Saccharomyces cerevisiae S288C: one gene and its partners. The protein of the gene in region 1 interacts with the protein of each later gene in a biochemical or structural test. Each region holds a gene or a part of one and is shown in the gene's direction. Other genes may lie near its edges.

The links.
Region 2: the proteins of CTK2 (region 1) and YKR018C form a complex in vitro, tested with the Saccharomyces cerevisiae proteins (one large-scale study listed by BioGRID).
Region 3: the proteins of CTK2 (region 1) and CLC1 form a complex in vitro, tested with the Saccharomyces cerevisiae proteins (one large-scale study listed by BioGRID).
Region 4: the proteins of CTK2 (region 1) and EFM5 form a complex in vitro, tested with the Saccharomyces cerevisiae proteins (one large-scale study listed by BioGRID).

The regions. Positions count from the first base shown.
Region 1 is NC_001142.9:421,396-427,581, reverse strand, and holds CTK2 (Ctk2p), read left to right. Parts: upstream 1-3,472; coding exon 3,473-4,444; downstream 4,445-6,186. Other genes in the region: CYR1 (adenylate cyclase), read right to left, coding at 1-2,425; YJL007C (uncharacterized protein), read left to right, coding at 4,570-4,884; chaperonin-containing T-complex subunit CCT8, read left to right, coding at 5,919-6,186. UniProt on the Saccharomyces cerevisiae protein: Cyclin subunit of the CTDK-I complex, which hyperphosphorylates the C-terminal heptapeptide repeat domain (CTD) of the largest RNA polymerase II subunit.
Region 2 is NC_001143.9:471,864-479,045, reverse strand, and holds YKR018C (uncharacterized protein), read left to right. Parts: upstream 1-3,145; coding exon 3,146-5,323; downstream 5,324-7,182. Other genes in the region: VPS51 (Vps51p), read right to left, coding at 214-708; IRS4 (Irs4p), read left to right, coding at 983-2,830; E3 ubiquitin-protein ligase HEL1, read left to right, coding at 5,697-7,182.
Region 3 is NC_001139.9:830,748-836,377, forward strand, and holds CLC1 (clathrin light chain CLC1), read left to right. Parts: upstream 1-1,708; coding exon 1,709-2,410; downstream 2,411-5,630. Other genes in the region: TRS65 (Trs65p), read left to right, coding at 1-1,450; PEX35 (Pex35p), read right to left, coding at 2,605-3,735; pseudouridine synthase PUS6, read right to left, coding at 3,942-5,156. UniProt on the Saccharomyces cerevisiae protein: Clathrin is the major protein of the polyhedral coat of coated pits and vesicles. In yeast, it is involved in the retention of proteins in an intracellular membrane compartment, presumably the trans-Golgi. The yeast light chain is important for cell growth.
Region 4 is NC_001139.9:494,707-499,856, reverse strand, and holds EFM5 (protein-lysine N-methyltransferase), read left to right. Parts: upstream 1-1,822; coding exon 1,823-1,857; intron 1,858-1,919; coding exon 1,920-2,398; intron 2,399-2,491; coding exon 2,492-2,724; downstream 2,725-5,150. Other genes in the region: SWC4 (Swc4p), read left to right, coding at 1-1,381; ERG26 (sterol-4-alpha-carboxylate 3-dehydrogenase (decarboxylating)), read left to right, coding at 3,355-4,404; ERP6 (Erp6p), read right to left, coding at 4,690-5,150.

The DNA.
Region 1 (6,186 bases):
TGGGAGGTGTAGTCAGATCCATATTCCTTAAATCTACGTGAACAAATTCGCTTCTCATTATTCTTTGTTCTTGTTCAGGAGTAAAGTGAGAAGGTGTGACAGGATGGAAAAGAAACTTAAAAACAAAACTTAAATCCTCTATACCCATAATATGAAGTGGGTCTGACTTTCGATAACCATTCAAAAGTAAAAGTTTTCTTTCAATTAAAATAGGTTTCGAAGTTGGTCTCAAAATTTTTGACAACTTTCCCACCTTCAGGGAAATTTGAAAATTCCCTTGCGCTGTAATGTTAAATTTTCTTTTAAGTGCAGGTATTATCTCTTCGACGGTAGTCGCTGGAGTACATGAGAGAGTCGTAAAAGTGTCATCAGTATTGAATATACGAATAGCATAGTGCCTCTTTGGATCTAAATCACTGAAATCTTTATAGTAATGTTCCAGTTGGCACTCGACCTCATCGTCCTTCTCATCTTGTAGTAATAATCCAGAACTCTGGGCACCATCTGGTGAATTCATATTTACCGAAGAGGATGTAAATTTCTTGGTATACGATTTCGTTTTATTCAGGATCGGTGTTTTATTATCCTGCTCTCGGTTGGCCTCCATATACGCGTTAGTGTACGAAGAGGAATCGCTGCAGGAAGATGTATCTTCTGAACTAATAGATGAGGACGGTAAAGATGAGGAAGTGGAAGACGTGTCGTAGTCCCCATCTAAATTTGATGGAGCATATCGTATACTTGGGGGACTCATAGCCAAATTACTTTTTAAGCGGTTCACAGATTTAGTATCGAGTGCGGTCTTGCTATCATTCGGAACGTTTTCTTTACATATATCAACAAAACTTGAGTTACTGTCACCCGCAGTGACCATTGATTCGTTATCCTTTCGATCGTGATGATGACGAGAGTCTTTTTTTGAAGGTGGCCCCGGTGACATGGGATCAAGTTCATCAGCATCTATACTTGACCTTCTTGATTTCGATCTCCCTTTAGGTTTTGTTTTTTTCCTTTTGGTTTCCACATCCCAGCTTTGAGGTGCTACCCATTGTGATCTATCATTGGAAGTTGATGTGAATTCACCATTAGGTGCTGCGGCAGCGACGGAGAGATCAGCCATTGACACCGACTTCCTAGGACCTTCAGGCATGATCACCGTTTTGGGTGAGGCAGTCTCAGTCCCGTGTGTAGAATTTAGTGTAGAATTGACAGCGGTGGGTGGCACCGTCTTTGTAATATCAGTAACATCCTCAAGGTTTGTATCTAGCCTGAAAAGGGATGGTTTACATGAAATGGGTGTTTCTATAGTAGGCGTTGTGGCTTCGCGTTTGTTGTCAGAGTTAGAATTTTCCGGAATGTTCTCATTATATTCTGGAGTCACTTTCTCGGATTTATTATTAGTGTGATCGGCGGATTCGCTGTTAACGCTGTCCTTACTTTTAGTAGTTGGAGAAACATTAGATACGTTATGTTGGAGAACATGACTACCCGACGTCGCCATACTTGCACTGTCACTGTTAGTCATTGAACTGACATTTGAACCTCTTCTACTGCTTGAAGAAGATGTGGAGCCTAGCAGAAAGCTTTTTCTGTGCGAGCGTTTGCTATTGGGAACATCGGATGAATGTAATGTATTTTCTGATTGCGCAACAGCCTTTGGTCTAATCTGTTTATCTGCAATACCATTATTTATATCATGGACGGAAGAACCACGTACCAATGAGGACACTTTCCTTCGTAAAGTGCTTGGCACGTTATCAGCCAAGTGATTAGATAAAGTGGAGTCTTTAGAAGGTTTCCTATTAGCAGGTGCAGGATTTACCGTTGAAAGGGAAAGGTTAGCAACTTTACTTTCCTTTCCTGACTTATTGCCATCGTGACTGTTTGACCCTGAAAACCTTTTGAATAGGGTTTCCGCTAATGATGGCTTCCTATTGGGAAAAAACTGAACATGATGATGATCATGATGACCGTCATGATGGTTATGAGTAGATGTGTAGTTGTGCGTCTTGGATGAATTCAAAGCGTAACCGTGGTCTTTATTATCATCATGAGTACTATTCGCGCTCGTCATTGAAAGACTGCTCAATGTTTTCTTCAGTAAATATGGACCCCTTTTGATTTTCGGTTCTGTCGGCCTTGGATGTTCCACGTTCGAAATACTTACATCATCCATACCATTTGGAGTGATACTCTCCCTGCTTTTGGTCATAGAAAGCGACCGTGGGCTGTAATAACTATATGCGCTATTCCTTCTTGATTTGTGACCACTATTTTGTTCGTGACGCTTCTTGACTTTTGGTACCTCATCATGAATGCTTCTATCGTTTGCTTCCGTAGGTGAGCTCTGCTCTATCTGTTGTTCTTGTTCTTCCTGTCGCTGAGGGCCAGAAATTTCCGAACCAGTATCAGGTTTTGATGACATTTCGACCTAGGGATTTCGTTTGCTGTTGCTTTAGCTCGTTTCGCAATGGTTAGCGACAATAGTAAAGATATGCTATTTTTGGTTGTGAACTGCAGCAAGAGGTCTCCTTATGCTTTCTCTCCTCTGTTACTATACTTCCCAGCTGTCTTTACTGAACTTTGGAAGAAAATACACTTTTTTAGAGTCGCTTTTCTTATGGTAAGTCCCCCCTGCTTTCCTTCCAAAATACAAAAAAAAAAAAAAAAAAAAAGTAAGAAAAAGGAAGTGAAAAAATAAGGTTATGATTGAATATTTAGGTTTGATAGAGGAGAAAGTAAGGAAGGTCTCAGTTCAGTCTGCCATTCCAATTTGAAACATAGAATTTCAGTGATTAACAATGCAATTGAACAATTGAACACAGAGAAGAAGAAGAACGAGAACTGACTCTAAATCTGGCATTTTATCCTTTTTTATGGCTATTTACATTGGGAGCTAGGCGAAATGCATATTTGTTTACTTTCTGGCATTTACAAAATCATTTTTTAAAGGGTATGACCTACTCTAATGCGCTTTTCTGTAGAACAACGCAGGGAACGGTATTTGATGTTTTCAATGATGTATGACTTATATAACATCTATTTCCTAGGATTTTTAAATAAGATGGAGGGTTGGCCGAGTGGTCTAAGGCGGCAGACTTAAGATCTGTTGGACGGTTGTCCGCGCGAGTTCGAACCTCGCATCCTTCAGTATTTTTTGTCCTTATCTTTTTGCTGCACCGAAAGCACTCATGAAGTCTACGGCTTGATGCACACCGTTTGGGAACCTTTGCGATCCCACGTACCTAAATGGTCCTTTTCGGTACAACTTGCTGAAGAATCACTGTGTGGCGGGTAATGCTCTCTTTATACTTGCATTGCGAAAATCCGCGATGATCAAAAATCCAAACAAGTACTGTCCTGAAAGCCGTCTTTATACACATAGATATATATATATATATATATATATCTGTATCTATAGAGCGAGAGGAGATATAGAGCCAGCAAAACTAAGAAAATTACGTACTTTGATATGCCTAGCACGTTTGAATCCCAGCTTTTTTTTTCGAGACCGTTTCTGTCTAAAAGGCAAATTCAAAGAGCCCAAAAGAATACAATATCGGACTATCGAAATTACAACCAGAAAAAACTTGCCGTGTTCAAATTTCTAAGTGACTTGTGTGTTCAGCTGAAATTTCCACGGAAGACTTTAGAAACAGCAGTATACTTTTACCAAAGATACCACCTCTTTAATCGCTTCGAGACCGAGGTTTGCTACACTGTAGCGACAAGCTGCCTGACTTTGGGCTGTAAAGAAGTTGAGACAATTAAAAAAACAAATGATATATGTACTTTGTCATTACGATTGAGGAATGTGGTTAAAATCAATACGGACATTTTGGAAAATTTTAAAAAAAGGGTATTTCAAATAGAACTTCGGATATTAGAGTCATGCTCATTCGATTATAGAGTCAACAATTACGTTCATATTGATGAATATGTTATAAAAATTGGTAGGGAGCTATCCTTTGATTATAAGTTGTGCAATCTGGCTTGGGTAATTGCTTATGATGCTTTGAAGCTAGAAACTATTTTAGTCATACCCCAACATTCCATTGCATTGGCCATTTTGAAAATAGCATATGAATTACTAGATAATAAGAATTGGTCAAGTAAAAGGTATTCTTTATTTGAAACAGACGAGAAATCCGTAAATGAAGCTTATTTTGATATAGTCAATTTTTACATCAATTCATTCGATATGTGCGATCTACAACGTCATTTACCGGCTGATTTGCTGCCGATTGGCGTTGAAAGGTTTATGGAACTGAAAAAAAACGCAGGACCAGAATCTGGATTGCCGCAAATACCAGATCACCTGTTGAATGCCGATCCTTATATCACTATTACTAGAGATAATAATGTCCAAGAAAGAAGATATGTACTTTCACTGGAGCTAATTAATGGCGAGTCCAGCATAAATAGTTCTACAAGACATGCATAGAAAGTCCTACTATAAACTTAAATAAGATCATCATTATAAACTTTCTTTTACACAAGTAATAAGTACCTTTTTTTATCTCAAAACATGAATGTTGAGCTTCGAGGTTTAATTCACAAAAAAAGAAAATGTGCTCCAGGGGAGGTTCGAACTCTCGACCTTCAGATTATGAGACTGACGCTCTTCCTACTGAGCTACTGAAGCATACAAAGGATGTTGGGGAAGAAAAACAAACTTTACATCAAATATTTGCGGATTCCATGGTTATTAAAGGATATAGCACCGGGTATACAGGACATACTAGAAGTTCTCCAGGGGATCTTGTAATCCACAAAAGAGAATTGATATTTTCACATAATATTGTCATTATTGTTTCCCCAATTTATATGATATCATTCATTATTCTGTTACACTATCAGTCCTGGCATTTCAGCATCTATTAAATCTGATGACTGTTTTCTCAATCTTCATGCCATCTTGGTACATCGTACATGATAATATATTAGTAATATGAATACTATTCGATAGATTATAGTTGATCCTCATTAGGACATCTATCGTAACAATGGGAATGTTCATATCATACATTAATTTATACGAGTTGTTCAGACAGTAGTATAAGGCAAAGATCTTTTACTTGAAAGGTTAACTTAAAAATTTTGGATATAGAAGTCATTATACTAGGCGCGTAGTATTTTACTGATGTGTTTCCAAGCTAGGGCATACTGAATATGTTCTCTGGGCGCGTGTTTATATGCTTTTCTTATATACAATAAGAAAAGTTTACTTCTATTCTCGGTAAAAACATTCTTACGGCTTGACCACTATTGATGGATATGGTTTATTGCTCATAGGTAGAGGTCAAAAAGCTTTATTAATGAAGATTGAATATCGATCTTCTTAGACTTATATAAGGGGGATATAAAACACACGCCGATTGGTTCATTCCTAATTGTGACCAATGTAATAGTGGTTCCGGCAGTTCTCATACATTTAATGTGAAGACCTGTATTGCTCATATATATGACTATCAGATCATATTCAAATAATGGATTTTTAATTCTGCTTCGGTACTGTCTGAACTGCTTCTTGAACATTTCCTTCTGTAATAGGTACATTGACAGACATATGCGTGGTGTATACTAGCATAAAATGTAAGCATCGAAATTGTTACCAATTGAATTCATGTTGATATCTAATGATCACTTGTCCGAACATTTTGTATTATTAATCAATAAAGAAGCTGCCGGATTTAGATAATTAAAGAGTTGCGAGCACATTTACTATTTCAATAGCTTATTTTATATAAGCCAAGTTAATGGTGTTTTTGTCATTATTAACGGTATTCGAAAATGTTCATCACCTCCGCTAGTGGCAAAAAAAAGTGAAGAAAATAGTATAGCATGATGATGTTCTCACTTTACAGATACCGACAAGACAACTTGAACCTCAAGGGCAATAAAATCATCAATTAACCATGTCACTTAGATTGCCACAAAATCCCAACGCGGGATTGTTTAAACAAGGCTACAATAGTTACTCTAACGCCGATGGCCAAATTATTAAATCAATTGCGGCCATTCGCGAATTACATCAAATGTGTTTGACTTCTATGGGACCCTGTGGTAGAAACAAGATCATTGTTAACCATCTCGGTAAAATCATTATTACCAACGACGCGGCCACCATGCTAAGAGAACTAGATATTGTCCATCCTGCAGTGAAAGTCCTCGTAATGGCGACTG
Region 2 (7,182 bases), on another chromosome or scaffold:
AGACGGCGCTATTATATATCTGCGTATATATACTACAAACAGCCGGGAATACATTTGGCAAAGTCCTCGTACGACAATAGGGCAATTGCTAGTAGTGTTAAGCAGTTTTTCAGGTGAACTTGCAAACCGAAAAAGAGGAAAAATTGGTTCACATAGTAAAATGCACTCTCTCGAAGGAAGTGTTCGGTGAAAGCCACGATATGCCGCTGGAAATTACAGTTCCTTGATTAAAGATTCTACTGTTTGCTTCAACTTGTTAATTTGGTCTTCATTGGCGTTTGTAATTTCTTTGAGAAGGTCGTTGACTTTTATTAGGTCATAATAGTTTTCGTAAATGGTATTCTTGATAGAATTGTTAGTCTCGGTTTCTTTGCCCAAGAGCTTATTGTGAATTTGTACTAGCCTCTTAAAGGGCAGGTTCTTTATCTCTTCTTCTGCATCTTCTGACCCCTCCTTGAGATCCTCTTCAGTTGCACTCAATTCGTCATCTTTCACTGGTTTCTCAGTGTTTGCTTCGGTATCTATATTCACATCTGTGACTTGCTCCTCCCCAGAATGAGCCTCGCTGGCTTTTTCCCCTATACGTGCTTCTTGACGACCTTTATTCGGTTCATTTTCCAAGTTGTAGAATTCTCTTAAGAGCAATCTTCTATCTTTGTTCAGACTGCTCACCCTCAGGGACTTTTTGTGACTAATTTGTTCTGCCATCTGTACTTAATATCCTCGTCAGATTCCGTCTCACCGCAAATACGCCTCTTCTATGCAGAGCCTCACCTATACGTACAACTTACTGCCTCTTGTTTCCACGCAGCGAAAATTCGATGATTTCTCGTATAAAGCATATCGAAGTTGAATCATCACAAAAAGGCCCATTGTGTAATGGACCCTTGCCACAACAACACTCTCGTTGCACAGGTAGAACATACTTTTAAGGCCTGGGTAGATTCATTTTTTTGACATAGGAAAAGATTAGCAGAGGAGTATGAGACTTTCGTTTGGTAAACAGCGTTATCATGGCGGTACAACAGTAACTTTGACTGAACAAGGAGCTTCAGATTCCCTTCGCGCTGCGCAAGCTATCTTCCAGAACCATTCCAATGAGGTCAGCAGTCCATGCCCTCCAGTAACGGTGAGCAGGAATCCTCAAACTAGGTTATCAGAGCCATCGCTACAAAAGTCAGGGCGGAAACAAGAACAAAAGAAGGCACGCATACGAACAAAACAGGTACCTAAGATTAAAACAACGGCGCCTAATGATGTTGAGTTGTCTAAGAAACACAGGTCAAGCCCTGCAGGTAAAGATAATGTTAGTAGTACTGCTCAAATGGCAGCTGCTTTAGCGCATTCACAATCGAAACTTAGTTCTGACAATAACTCCTCCCATTCTTCGGCATTGGATACACTAAAAGTTCTAGAAACTCCGAACTTGAATGGCTTGCTGGGCATTCATTCACGCTCAAGCTCAAGAAACGGCTCCAATGAATCACTGACGCCTGGCCAAAGAACTCCCGACAATAGATCTCAAGAGAATTTACTTACTTCCTTTAGTAGCGGTAGAAGGCTATCCTCGAGCTCTATGGAGCCTGCAACTAATAAAGACAGCAACAAAGCTCTGCCCAAACGCAGGCCGTCTCCTCCCTTGCAATCATCACTTGTCGGCAGTGGTCAGCTTCATGAAAATGAAAACCTATCATCAATTAGCATCGATTCCAGACATAGTCTCAATCCGGACACTTCAGACGTTATTTCTAATAGGTCACAAACAAGTCTATCTCAAACAATTAATCAACTCTCGTTATGTGAATCAGAGCCATCTATTGCAAGCTCAAACACTACTACTACAACGAGCAACCAGGGAAGTGGTTTGCCCAACTTGGTTCCGAACTATTCATCCGATATGAGGAAGAAGAAGCTTGTTAACAAGTTCAAAAGGAAAGTATTTGGTAGTAAGCCCAAGCACTTATCTTCACAATATGAAATGGATGCAAGCAGCGAAGAACTGGGACAACATGAACAACAACCGAGTATGAGATTTAAAACAACATTACGTAAAACCTCTGTAAGTACAAACGCAGAAAATGATCATGCATCCTCTCTACATGAGGGAAATCTGAGGTATAAGTACAATCCGTCCAACGACACGTATGATGTGTATGACGATACTGATTCTGATTCTGAATCTGATCAGAACCAGGACGCCTTGACCAAGCCACGCAAAAGAGATAGAATTAAGAGAAAGATCAGGAATTCTGCCAATAAAACTGCACATCATAGGCCTATCCACCGCACGAGAGATCGGAAATTCAATGAGGATAAACCCTGGAAATCACATACAGATATAACTTTCGTAACAGACAACGAAAGGAAGCGTTACGAAAGCATGTGGGTAAGCAACAGACACCGTCATTTGAACCTGTTGAGCTGGTGGCCCTCTATAACGGGTGATTCCGGAGCAATTAATACTTTACCCGAAGATGGATTGATATTGGGTATCATAGTCCGTGATATCTGGAAGCGGTCTAACTTGCCCAATAGTCTATTGGCAGAAATTTACACGAAGGTAGACACAAGAAAAGATGGTACTTTAGATAGGAAATCTTTTATTGTGGGTATGTGGCTGGTCGATCAGTGCCTGTATGGCAGAAAACTTCCCAATGTTGTCGAGCAATGCGTTTGGGATAGCGTAGATAGATATGCTTCCACCACGGTTGTGCCAGTGAGTACGCTAAAGGCGATGGCCAAACAAAAGAGAAAACAGATGAAAGAAGAAATCAAGAATATCAAGAAGGAAAACCGTGTAGTTCTTGTAGACCACAATAGCTCGTCGTGACGAGTGTGACTCGCACCACTTCGTAGGTAGACATATACAGAAGTATATATATATAATGCGTAATTCCCCCACTTGTTACTGTTAAGCTAATCGAATTGTCATCTCAGAAATCTTGTTCGAGATAAGGCCAATCTTACTAAAAAAATGTCTATTAGTCTTCTCTGTTATTATTATTCCCGGCTTTTTGCTTTCTTTCCTTTTTTCCAAGGAAGGGGGCAAATTCGATCAACTAAAAAAGAGGCATCGTTTATTCGGATGCCACCACTGAGACGATCCACAGGCTAATTGTGACTAGTGGATCACAGAACAACCAAAATGTTTAAAGTGTTTGGTTTTGGTGCGAAGGAAGAGATTCCTGAGCTTTCACAGGAAGAAAAAACTAAAGCCATTCTAAAACAAGCTCATGATTTCGAACAGGCACTGCGTGCGATGGACTATGTCTTAGATGATAATGCTGACGAGGGTTTGGCTTTGCTGGATGAGAGTGATGCTAAAGAAGCTTCCGACCAAACTATAAATGCGTTAGCTCGTGGTGTCATTGAATTTTTGGAGGCCACTTTAGGTTTTGAAGCTGAAGAGATGAAAAAAGCTTCTGCGACTTTGGCCAAGGCAGAAGCTTTATCTTTGAAAAGTAGAGAGAGGGCTCAAAAAATTGGATTGAAGAGCAGTTCTTTATATCCTCCAGGAACAGTTTATGCCGTGACTTATACAGAATCATGCCTTCTACATGCCCTATTGATGATTTTCAGTGAAAGTATGATGGAGGCGGCCAAGGCCATTTTAAAGCTCAGAAAGTCGTACTATATGTTACAAGAAATCTTGGAAACTATTAAAGCTGCTAACAAAGCCAAGAAATTGAAAATTACGTCAGGCAGTGAAGATAAGGAGTCCACCCCAGCGACTTTCATAACTGGTGGCGATGCGTTCAATTCCGTTGATATACCTTATGAACTGACTCCTGAAGAACAAAAGGATAAGGATCTTTTACAATTTGCTGAACAAATTCATAGCATGAGGACTGAAAGATTATCTGGCGCCCACATTGGCAACTCTCCTGCAATTAACAGGTTGAGAGGTGAGCTAGGACTACAAGCAATGGAAGACTTGCCAGAAGAGGAAATAACAGATCATAAAGTTCTTTCGGATGATATAGATTTAAGTCAAGCAACAATTGATGAGTTTGTCCATTCTGGTGTCAATTTATGCTTTGGTATTTTACAGGTTGTGATATCACTATTACCACCCGCTATTGGCGCGGTCCTATCTGTGGTTGGATTCAGGGGTTCCAGAGAAGAAGGTTTGAGACTTGTTTGGAAAGCCACAAAGCAAAGAAACGTGCATGGTTGTATTGGTTTGTTAGCCCTGATGTTTTACTATGATGGACCTTTCCAATTCACTGACGATGATTTTGATATTCCTGCAGCAGTTAAGGATTCCAGTAACAGTGAAGATTCTGAAGATGAAGAGATGGATGGCCCTACGTTGTTGCATCCTGGGAAAATACTGGAAGATGCGTTGCTGCAATCAAGAGCGCTATTTCCCAATAGTGCGCTATGGTTATTGAATGAGGCAAGGATGCTATCTGGTAAAGGGCGTTTAGAGGAAGCAGTCGCATTGATGGATTCGATTGATGTTAGCAAGATACGGATGAGACAGGTCAAATCCTTGATGATTTTTGACCGTGCTATAACATTGATCCATTTGCATCAATACGATAGAGCTGCAGAAGATATTTTATCGCTATTAGACATCAGTGATTGGTCACACGCTTTTTACACATATTTTGCTGGCTGCTGTTATTTAGAAAATTGGAGAATGTGCGAAATGGGATTAATGAAGTCAGACAAAAAGGATGAATACCAAAAGAAGGCCGAAGAACTTATCTTCACCTCTGTGAATTTGCTAGGTAAGAAAACCTTCAAATCGAAGAACCTGCCATTAGATAGGTTTATTCTGAGAAAAGTTGAGCAATTTAAAGCGAAAAAGGAGGAACTTGGGGTGGAAAATCCTCTGGATGGTATCGCTACTTCACCAGTACACGAAATTGCGTACTTCTACAATGGTTATAATAGAATGTCTGAAGAGCATTTGGAGCTAACAAAGAAAATGCTAACTGAGTATAGAAATCCCGCCATTGAAGCTTTAGACTCAGATCAGGAGTTAATCAAAGATCTCTTGGTCTCTTTGACATTAAGAAGATTAGGTCATATCCAAGAAGGTTGTGATATATTGGATGAAAAGGTTCTACCTAAGTTTTTCTCCATTCAAAATGGCAAGGTCAAATATATAAAGAAAACTGAAGATCCATGGGCCTATCCGACTGCACTTTATGAACGTGCTCTATTTACATGGAAGTTGGAGGGCATGGATGGCCTTCCAGAGAGTAAAGAATGGTTACTGAGGGCTCAGGGCTACGCAGATGATTATGAATTGAGTACGAGAGTAGGTATGAAAATTAAGGCTGCCATTGACCGCGTTGACCATTCATTGTAATCAAGTTTTGATCAGCCCTCATGCCCTTTTTTTTAAGAAATATTTTCCCCTATTAGTTTTCCTAATGTCCCACCTAATTTTAAAGCGCTAAGCTATACTTATTGACCGTACATACCTTGCGTAGTTTAATTACATACGATTTGATGCTTTCTCAGTGCCATCGTCCTTCCTCCTTGCGCAAAAAATAGGAACCCGCTTTAGAAAAGAGGAGAGGAAGGTGAAGAATGCTGTGAGTACTGCCTTAGTTTTAAGGTAGCTACATTTGTATTGATTTGTTACTATCCCAGCTACTATACAGGAATTATAGCCATTCTTTAAGTATATTTAATTTGTCTTTAGCGAATTTGGGTGTACTTGTTAGAGGCTTTTAACAATGAGTAGTGGTACCGAAAATGATCAATTTTATAGTTTTGATGAAAGTGATTCCAGCTCTATTGAACTTTATGAATCTCACAATACATCTGAATTTACTATACATGGACTAGTTTTCCCGAAGTTAATTAGTGTAACAAGCCAAGATTCAGAATTTGACATCAATGAAGATGAAGATGGAGTCGATACCATATATGAGGGGATGCTAGATGCTCCTCTTACGAAAAACAACAAAAGAATACTGTGTGAAGGGAGTGTACCGAATCTCAGTTATGAATGCTTAACCACCAAGGGTATATTTGAAAGAATGCTTCAAAGGGTTGACCATTTACAACCTATTTTTGCAATTCCATCTGCGGATATATTGATATTACTACAGCATTATGATTGGAACGAGGAACGTTTGCTAGAAGTTTGGACCGAAAAAATGGACGAATTGCTTGTGGAGCTTGGCTTAAGTACCACAGCAAATATCAAGAAAGATAATGATTATAATTCACATTTCAGAGAAGTTGAATTCAAAAATGACTTTACATGTATTATTTGTTGTGATAAAAAGGATACGGAAACATTTGCGTTGGAATGTGGCCATGAATATTGTATCAATTGCTACCGTCATTACATCAAGGATAAGTTGCATGAGGGGAACATCATTACATGCATGGACTGTTCCCTGGCATTGAAAAATGAAGATATAGATAAAGTGATGGGACATCCTTCGAGTAGTAAGTTGATGGATTCTTCAATCAAAAGTTTTGTTCAAAAACATAATCGTAACTATAAATGGTGCCCGTTTGCTGACTGTAAATCCATCGTGCACTTGCGAGATACGTCATCATTACCAGAATATACCCGTTTGCATTATTCACCTTTCGTTAAGTGTAATTCATTTCATAGATTCTGTTTCAATTGCGGATTCGAAGTTCATTCCCCAGCAGATTGTAAAATAACCACTGCTTGGGTTAAAAAAGCCAGAAAAGAATCAGAAATTTTGAATTGGGTCTTGTCCCACACTAAAGAATGTCCAAAATGTTCTGTTAATATTGAAAAAAATGGTGGCTGCAACCACATGGTTTGCTCAAGTTGTAAATACGAATTCTGTTGGATTTGTGAGGGCCCCTGGGCGCCCCACGGTAAGAACTTTTTTCAATGTACAATGTATAAGAATAATGAGGATAATAAAAGTAAGAACCCTCAAGACGCTAATAAAACCTTGAAGAAATACACTTTCTACTATAGATTGTTTAACGAACATGAAGTTTCAGCCAAGCTTGATTGGAACCTGGGGCAAACTTTGGGCACGAAAGTTCATGCACTACAAGAAAGAATAGGTATCTCATGGATTGATGGACAGTTCCTATCAGAAAGTTTAAAAGTGTTGAATGAGGGACGAACCGTATTAAAATGGTCATTTGCCGTGGCATATTACTCGGATGCATCTCATAATTTGACGAAGATTTTCGTTGATAACCAAATGCTCTTAGCCA
Region 3 (5,630 bases), on another chromosome or scaffold:
TGAGAACAATGAAAATCTATGGAGGTTGAAAAACGACTGCTGTTCGAAGATTCTTTTCAAATCAAATGTTGTTATGAATAATGGTTATAATAATCAGATCAAATTTGTCTTTGAATATAAATCTGTGGATGCAAATTTCAATAACCAGGATTCATTACAAGATCCACAGGCAAAGTATACATTAGATAAGTACTCTAGCGAGGAGATTTTGCCAAGTTTTGAGCCAGTTTATTCCTGGTCTTCTGCAGCCACCAAATCATCCAAAAATACTAATAATCATCTGGAGAAAAATAACAGGGCGACTCATCGAGTTAGTTCTAAAAATAGCGAAGTCCACGAAGCGGACGTTTCTAGAAATCCGAATACATTTACTCTTAAGCTCCAATACCCAATATTCTCACTTTTGAATATGAGATTGAGAAACATCTCCTTGAAATCTGAGCATTGCATATTATCATCGTTAGACTTTCAAACTTCTAAAGCATCCGAACAACTGACCAAAAAATTTATTTATCCGCAAGAACACAATTCTTTTCTCAAACTGAACTTTCAAGAAATATCGTATAAACTAATCGACGGAACCTCTCAAATTGAACTAGATCCAATCTGTCCTTTGAAAGTGCCACTCACTGCATTTTCATACGATAGCATTAGCGCTACTTTTAAACTGGTTCTGTTACCCAAATCAACTCAACCACATCGTGTGAAAATCACCTTAGCGTACGAACTCGAGCTGCATCCCAATCTGAAGTTACCTGTGAGAACATCATGGGAAACAGAAGTCACATTGAAGCGTTCTATGCCAATTTCCTCGACATCTTCTCAATACTCGAGTAACAACAATAATACCAATCATAGCGCTTCTTTTAATGGTGCGGCCAACAACGTTAATTCTGGTGGTTTGGCCAATCTAAGATTAGGTGGGGTTTCCTCCTCAAGATTTAGTCTTGGAGCTGCTTCGACTACATCATTGGTGAATAGCAAATTAAGCAATGTAAAATTCAAGTTTATTAATAGCAATATAAAAGTTATTAAGGGCGAAAAGTTTACTATGAGGCTTCAGATCATTAACTCGTCATCATCCCCCCTGGATCTTGTTGTGTATTATAACAATACAATAAACCCAATCCCTTCAGCTAATAACGTACGTAACAGCAATGGTATAAACAACTGTGGCATGAATAATGGGACTATCCCCAATTCGCCCTTGACACTGGAAAATCAGTACCAACTGCATAATAAATATAGAAAAATTGCGGAGGGGATTATACTATTATCCAACGATTACAAAATTCCAGTTGTACCTCCGAGAGAAACATACTTCGCGGATTTACGATTTATTGGTATTATGTCCGGATATTATGGCACTCTCTCCGGACTTAAGGTATTGGATTTAAATACAAATGAACTTATAGAAGTTGGAAATGGCGCATCTGTGTTAATCCAGTAAGCGGAACAAGTATACATTTTATTAACATAGACTACATACTAATCTGTAACATTTCTATAAAAAAGTTATTATCATCACATTACACGATAGAAACACTTCCATATTTTTTTACACTGAAAGGGGCACCTAGAAGATTAAACAACTAAACTGAAAATATACGTGCTAGAAAAAGGGTTTTACAGCTTTACTTAGGCGTTGCGAGTCACCCAAAAGAGCAGTTGAAGGACGCCGCCGTTTCACTAGATACATATATATATAATGTCAGAGAAATTCCCTCCTTTGGAAGATCAAAACATTGATTTCACACCCAACGACAAAAAAGATGACGACACCGATTTTTTAAAAAGAGAAGCAGAGATACTTGGAGACGAGTTCAAGACTGAACAGGATGACATATTGGAAACGGAGGCTTCCCCCGCCAAAGATGATGACGAAATTAGGGATTTTGAAGAGCAATTTCCAGATATCAACTCCGCAAATGGCGCAGTCTCGAGCGATCAAAATGGTAGTGCTACTGTATCTAGTGGTAATGACAATGGCGAGGCAGATGATGATTTTTCCACATTCGAAGGTGCCAATCAGAGTACAGAATCCGTTAAAGAGGATCGTTCTGAAGTTGTAGACCAATGGAAACAACGTCGTGCTGTAGAGATTCACGAAAAGGATTTAAAGGACGAGGAGTTAAAAAAGGAATTGCAGGATGAAGCTATCAAACATATTGACGATTTTTACGATTCTTACAATAAAAAGAAGGAACAACAATTGGAAGATGCTGCTAAGGAAGCTGAGGCTTTCTTAAAGAAAAGAGATGAATTTTTTGGTCAAGACAATACGACCTGGGATCGTGCACTTCAATTAATTAACCAAGATGATGCCGATATCATTGGGGGTAGAGACAGGTCTAAGCTTAAAGAAATTCTTTTGAGATTGAAAGGTAACGCGAAGGCTCCCGGTGCTTAAATGATGATGAATAATAAGAACCATAATGAACTAAGGAAGAGAAGGGGCTTATTCCCTATCATTCCCGTCATACATGAGTATCATACTTGATAGGTTCAGTAAATAACTAATTCATACTGTAAATTCATTTATCAAGACAACTATAATATAGATTATTTACAAACTTGTAAACTCTTCTCTTCTAAAAAAACACATCACATAATACTAAGCTGAAACAAAAAGAATAGTATATATTTCCCAAAGTTGCAATGCCAATACTTTTTCAAGTAAACATTAACCAAGGACTTCGCAAAGAATTTTGCGAAAAATGGGCTGATTTTCATTTTACTTGTTGGATCCACGAAGGTGAATGTAAGAAGCATCACGATGCACCGCAATTTGTTGCCCATTAATCTGCGCCTTTTCGTGACGAATAAATATTCGATACACTGCCTTAATATAGTCCATTTTAGACTTGGAAAAAAACCCTTGGTGAAATATGAATTTATTATCTTTTCGTTTATATTTGCATAATTATCATCAATTGTAACTTCATGTATTTCATTTAGTCTGTCCATTACATGCTTCAAATTTGATGAAGATATGGGCCAATCATTATGGTTCTTGACCCCAAGGTATTGAGAAAAGTTCCTGACTTCGTGGCCGCCGACATTCTTATTTGATTTCGTCCCTGAAGTAAAAAAGAATTTTAATGTTCTGTGATATACTGCCAAAACTGTGAAAATGGCATTGATTGTGAAGAAATCTATTAAAAATGGCCTATGGTCAAAAAGCACACGGAATGGTAACGAACTCCTGTCCAGTTTGGCAAATAATACAATAATCGCTAAACACACAAGAATTTGCTGGAATTTTATTAATGTACCCTGGGAAAAATTTTTTTTTTTCAACCATTGTGTTAATTTTGCGATCTTTAATTTGGAGGCTATAGCTTCCACAAGAAAGTGTGCGATAATCCACGAAGGTACCTCACCCTTGGTAAGCATTAACGATATTCCTACAATGGAAGACCAGTGAATATAATGATTTTTTAAAAATGGGAACTTCATCAAAGTTGGATATAGTATGTTCAGCAAGACTAATATAGTAGACTCTCTTAGCCATGGCATGATATCATTTATTTGAATATTTTCACCCTGTAATTTTTTCAATTTCCATTTTTTGACATAAAATACTAGGTTTATTCCATAGACTTGGGTTATTCTTTTCAAGATGATGACGAGTTGTTTTCTTCTCTTCTTGTTCAAGAGGAGTAGAAGCCTTCTTATTATCTGCTTGAAGCCAGAAACTGCTTTCCCAGTACCATTTGGACGATTGTGTTTCATATAGTTAGCAAGTGTATACTCTCATTAGCTCTGTTCGCGATGTGTATTTCGTGGTGCTTTATATAGGGTTTTTAACTTTTCCCCATGAACATTCGCTGTTATGTATTCGCAACTAAAAATAATGTCTCTCTTTAATTTTAATTTACATCCAAAGTACGGAAATGGTAACTAAACTATATACAAAAAAAGTTCGCTCAAAAAAAAGTTTAACTATTGTCCAATTGTGCCCATTTTGGTAAATCTGTTTTGAACTTGAATTTGCCATTAATCTCCTCATACTTCCAAGCATGCAACCATAATTCTAGGTCTGATAGCACAGGATCCTTTAAATCAACAGTATGACATTCAGGACAAAATGTTTCCATTGTCCGACAATTATTTTTTGTCTCATCGACAAATTTTTGAAACCTCACTTTCAATTCCTCAGCATCTAAATCCTGCTGATTCTCCCATCTAGGAAACTGAGTTATAAACTTAAGCCTTTCGGGGTATTTTGTAATATGCGAACAATAAACACTATCGTTGACGATGGGATGACCGAGCCTAGCTAAATGGATTCGAATTTGGTGTGTTCTTCCAGTTATTGGCTTACAAGCGACGACAGTTTCATCAGCATGAGAGAAGTATCTTATTGGGTAGAACTTGGTAATAGCATCCTTCGATGTCGATAAACCAACTGGAAACTGTCTCTTTGGATCGATAGAATATATGGGTGTCATTTCCACTGTAACTTTGGAAGTGTCCTCAAAAGTCGTTTCCGCCGCATTTTCATTGTCCAATATCAATTCGGAGTGAGGAAATCTTCCCTTGACCCTTGCCAAGTAGATCTTAATCATATCTCTTGAACGAATACTCTTCTGGATTTCCCCCGCACTCTGACTGTTCTTGGCCAATATCAACAAGCCTGATGTGATCTTGTCTAACCGATAACAAGGAAGAGCATCTACACCATGTAACTTCAGTAATTCAGTAATTGTGTTCTGGTAAAACTGACCGGTTGGATGCACTGGTATACCACTGGGTTTATCAATGACGAGGATACTCTCATCTTCAAAAACAATATTGAATCCCGCTATTCTGCCAGGTAAATCCTCCGCTTCAACTTCCTGGCTACACCATTGTTTTACCGGCGGTTCGTGCTTATGCGTAGTTGTTTCTAAAACATCATGATTCTTGATTATGGTAGTCATGAGATGATCTGGTACCAGCGGCACACCATCTCGGATCAACCTATATGTGCCTTTCCTTATTTGGTCCAAATAATAAGCTCTTGGGCGAAGTTTAAATTCACTAACGAGAACGTCTATTAGTAACTTACCCAACCAGCGCCCCTTCACGAACGCTGATCTTCTGTTATAATAGGGCCGTACCTTTCTCAGTCCATTCTGTGTATATACCTCAATAACTTTGATAGTTGACATACTTGACAATCATCCTTTTGCCCACTGATTGTCTCGAGCAATCGTCAATAAAGTTTTCACAAGAAACATTTATTTGCCTTTTAATGAAAGAAAAAAAGTAAATTTTTCATTAACTTTTATCATTGTTATCAATCTTCTTGTATGACAGCAAGCTATATATACATACATATGCAAATCTAATGTACATAATTTCAACTATTCATACCATTAGTACCATAAAGTCATTCTTTTTACTGTAAACTACACTTGCATTATCCTTCCTCGTCCCTCTTTATTCTTATAACGTTGAACAGTGATTTCTTACCATGTGTATTTTTGTACTCAACCCGCAAAAGATAAGCATCCTCATACAGAAGTATTATTATTACCACTGTTACTTTTATTGTCGTTATTTGTCTTGCGTTTTTATGTTTATGGAGATAAAGTGGGAATGACTTTATCATATGCAATTATTAGCCGCTATAAGGCTAAGAT
Region 4 (5,150 bases), on another chromosome or scaffold:
AAGTCCAACTAATGGCCAGGTATCAGTGCCTTCGTCCTCGGCAGCCAACCGGCCCAAGCCTCAAGTGACGGGCATGCAAAGAGAACTATTTAACCTGCTAGGAGAGAACCAACCCCCCGTTGTTATTAAGTCTGGAAATAACTTTAAAGAAAAAATGCTTTCGACGTCCAAGCCATCTCCTTGGTCATTTGTAGAGTTCAAAGCTAATAACTCTGTGACTCTGCGTCATTGGGTCAAGGGTTCCAAAGAATTAATAGGAGACACACCAAAAGAATCGCCATATTCTAAGTTCAATCAGCATTTATCTATTCCATCATTCACCAAGGAGGAGTACGAGGCTTTTATGAATGAAAACGAAGGAACTCAAAAAAGCGTAGAAAGTGAAAAAAACCATAACGAAAACTTTACTAATGAAAAGAAGGATGAAAGTAAAAATAGCTGGTCTTTTGAAGAAATAGAATACCTGTTCAATCTCTGCAAAAAATACGATTTACGTTGGTTCCTGATCTTTGACAGATACAGTTATAATAATTCAAGAACACTTGAAGATCTCAAAGAAAAATTTTATTACACCTGTAGGAATTATTTTAAAGCAAGTGATCCTAGCAATCCGCTTTTATCTTCTTTGAATTTTTCAGCTGAAAAGGAGATAGAGAGAAAAAAGTATTTACAGCGTCTTCTTTCTCGTTCTGCAGCAGAAATTGCTGAAGAAGAGGCACTCGTAGTAGAGTCCAAAAAATTTGAAATGGCTGCCAAGAGAACACTTGCAGAAAGAGAATCATTACTCCGACTGTTGGACTCGCCACATTCAGATCAGACAATTACACAATACCTTACCTCTCAGGGAATGTCTCAGTTATATAACGCGCTTCTAGCAGATAAAACTAGAAAGCGGAAGCACGATTTGAACATCCCTGAAAATCCTTGGATGAAGCAGCAACAGCAGTTTGCCCAACATAGGCAACTTCAACAACTGAATGTAAAAAAGTCAGAAGTCAAGGAAAATCTCTCCCCCAAGAAAACCAAAAGACAAAGACAGGAAATGCAAACGGCGCTCAAAAGAAAGTCAGAAAGCGCATATGCAGAACAATTGCTGAAAGATTTCAATTCAGATGAAAGGAAGGCTTTAGGTGTGATTACGCATGGTGAGAAGCTATCGCCGGGTGTATACTTAAGATCTACAAAATTATCGACCTTCAAACCTGCGCTGCAGAACAAAATTCTCGCCATTCTTCAAGAATTATCGTTACCTTCTCGCCCTGTGATGCCCTCATTTGATGTAATGGAAAGACAAGAGGAGCTTTTGAAAAAAATCAATACGCTTATCGATTTAAAAAAACACGTTGACAAATACGAAGCTGGTATGTCAATCACCAAGTGAACATCAGAAAATGCTTTTTGCTAGCACGTATGTGATTAAAATTTTTGCGTAAAATAGACTGTTTTATAATATTTGGTGTACAACATGGGACCTTCAGAGGTACTTTCGGAAATCACGCAAATATTATGCACTAGTAACCCTCAATCTCTAAATAACTTATATTGTCATCTGTAAGGCAGCAAAATCCAAGATGGGCAATGTATATAGGTATATAGTTTAGTATTGTCATCTCATAGAATATCAACTGCATAATATACATGTATATATAATTTCCCATTCATTTAGAGGCTTCTTTTTTCGTCTGTATCGCTGAACCTTATGCCGGTTAAATCTAACAAAATTTTTTTGAACTGGAGGAACTAAAAAAAAAAATATTAATCTTGACTAATATACTAATCAGTCACTTTACATCTTAATGAAACCGAAAGAATCACTGATAAAATGTCCGACTCCGACTCCGACTCCGATTATGAATTGTAAGTACAGGATATTTTCAACACAGTAACGTAGAATTACTAACTAACACGAAACTTAATAGGACACTTTCTGCTAATGCCCTCGCTGCCCTTGAAGAATTCAAAAGAGAGGAACAACAACATCAAGAAGCCTTTCAAAAGCTTTACGACGAAACGGATGAAGACTTCCAAAAGAAAAAAAAAGAAGAAGGGATGAAGCTTTTCAAGGAAGATTGGCAGCTTTCCCAGTTTTGGTACAGCGATGACACAGCCGCAATTTTAGCAGATGCCATATTGGAAGGTGCGGACGAAAACACTGTAATTGCAATAGTTAGTGCGCCATCCGTCTATGCTGCCATTCAAAAGAAACCTACTAATGAAATTCCAACCGAACATATCTACTTGTTCGAATTTGATAAGAGATTCGAGTTGTTAGCTGGAAGAGATCATTTCTTTTTTTATGATTACAATAAACCACTGGACTTCAGTGATGAAATTAAAGGAAAAGTTGATAGATTGTTAATTGACCCACCTTTTTTAAATGAAGATTGTCAAACAAAGTGTATGTATATCATAAACATATCCCTACTCATTTTTTAATCTTTTTTCCAGTATCTTTTCATCTTACTAACTGTTATTCATTGATATAAAATAGCCTCTATCACTGCAAAGTGTTTATTAGCGCCAAATGACAACTCTAAAACTAAGAAAGGAGTTTTTAAGCACCGCCTCATAAGTTGTACTGGTGAAAGAATGTCTGAAGTCATATCCAAAGTTTATTCTGACACAAGAATAACAACTTTTCTTCCTGAACATTCTAATGGTTTGAGTAACGAATTTAGGTGCTACGCAAATTTTGAATGTAGTTCATGGAAATTTGCTTCTTGAGCTTTTTAAGAGCTTCGATAAATTTGAAAATTAATTGTACTACATAAAAAATATGTAAACATCAATATATATAATATAATCACATTTCAAATATATCACGTGTTATATTTACTATATAAAAATTCAATAAATAAAAAGTTAGAAGATAAAAATTATATTATACATATTTTTATTTTTATTATAATTTTTGTTTTTGCCTTCCGAAAAGAAAATAGTTTTTTGTATTACGGAAATTACAGAAAAATGTTTAATTTTGATTTCATATTTTTTCTTTCTTTGAAAGAATATTGACGACAAAGTATTGGATAATTATAATGCAAGGAAAGGATATTTGTAGATCTTCGGTTCAATGAAAGTTAATGCGGTATGAATATTGCTTTCTCCAGGACCTTTTTTTTTTTTTAGAGGCTATTTTATTGTCGGTGTTTGTGGATTTTATATTTCTCGGTCCGATAGTCCCTATAGATCGTTTATTGTTCTCTCGAGAAATGGTATCGTTTAAAAATCTCATATAAGCCTGCAAGGAAAAGATTATGCTGCAGCTATAAAATAGAATAGACAACAATATAGATTGTCAATTTTGTCCAATTTTATTTGCAACTCTACCTGGAAGGGCAAACAAAAATAAATATGTCAAAGATAGATTCAGTTTTAATTATCGGTGGTTCTGGTTTTCTTGGATTGCACTTAATTCAGCAATTTTTTGATATTAATCCTAAGCCAGACATCCACATTTTTGATGTTAGAGATCTCCCTGAAAAACTTTCAAAACAGTTTACTTTTAATGTAGACGACATAAAATTTCATAAGGGTGATTTAACATCACCTGATGATATGGAAAACGCAATTAACGAAAGTAAAGCAAATGTTGTTGTTCATTGTGCTTCTCCAATGCATGGTCAAAATCCAGATATTTATGACATAGTGAATGTTAAGGGAACCCGTAACGTGATAGATATGTGCAAGAAATGTGGCGTTAATATACTTGTATATACTTCCTCTGCTGGTGTTATTTTTAATGGGCAAGATGTGCACAATGCAGACGAAACCTGGCCAATCCCAGAAGTTCCTATGGATGCGTACAATGAGACTAAAGCTATCGCCGAAGATATGGTCTTGAAGGCGAATGATCCAAGCAGTGATTTCTATACTGTTGCTCTTCGTCCAGCTGGTATTTTTGGCCCAGGTGATAGGCAATTAGTACCTGGTCTAAGACAGGTTGCGAAATTGGGGCAGTCGAAGTTCCAAATTGGTGATAATAACAATCTATTTGATTGGACTTATGCTGGAAATGTTGCTGACGCGCATGTGTTAGCTGCACAGAAACTTCTCGATCCAAAAACAAGAACTGCTGTCTCGGGTGAAACTTTTTTCATTACCAATGATACCCCCACCTATTTTTGGGCCTTGGCCCGTACTGTGTGGAAGGCAGATGGTCATATTGATAAACATGTTATTGTTTTGAAAAGGCCAGTTGCAATTTGTGCAGGTTATCTTTCAGAATGGGTATCCAAGATGCTGGGTAAAGAGCCAGGTTTGACTCCATTCAGAGTCAAGATTGTGTGTGCATACCGTTATCACAACATTGCTAAGGCCAAAAAGTTGCTAGGCTACACACCAAGAGTTGGTATTGAAGAAGGAATTAACAAAACGTTGGCCTGGATGGACGAAGGTTTGTAATGGCAATCGTTAGGAGCTTTTTGATCCGATTATCGAAAGATAGTATGTTGAAATAGCATATCTGATACGCACCGTATATATTTATTCTGTCTTTATAGATGAATAATAAGAATTGAAACACCTAAAACATCTTGATGACTAGGTTAGTATATATATGTATACACTCATTTAATGACTACACTATGAAGCGTCGGGGTAATGCATGTAAATAAATAGAAATAAATCATTGAAACAACGAAATTCTCATGTATGCCTGCTAAGGATTCAATTTTTTGATATGTACGGTCATAATACTTTCTGCTTAACAAAAAACGAGCGTAAACTTTTCATTTGCCATACACAAATTATAATGAGAAGAGTAACTTGAGTTACCGTCCACCACATTGCGCGAGAATTCACAGACTCTGATATGTCTCTAAAGGATTCTTCACGTTCTCTCATCAGTTGTTGCTCTCTCCTGATATCCACGATCTTAGAATTCAATATACTGACTTTTCCGTGCAAACTTTCCAAGGTTTCTTTTCTTTGCATGTCCAACATTGCTTCAAAACCGACTTCAAATTCGATTTCTAACTTTGTTTTGGTTTTCCCTACCCAGTTATTTACCCTAGACTGTAAACAGATCTTATATTCTCCAGATTCCAAAGCTAGAAAGCTGAAGTCACCGGAAGGAGAGCCCTGTTGGTGGACTACCCTATGATTATTATCAAAGACTTCTTCCACATCTATGACAATGCCATAGTCAT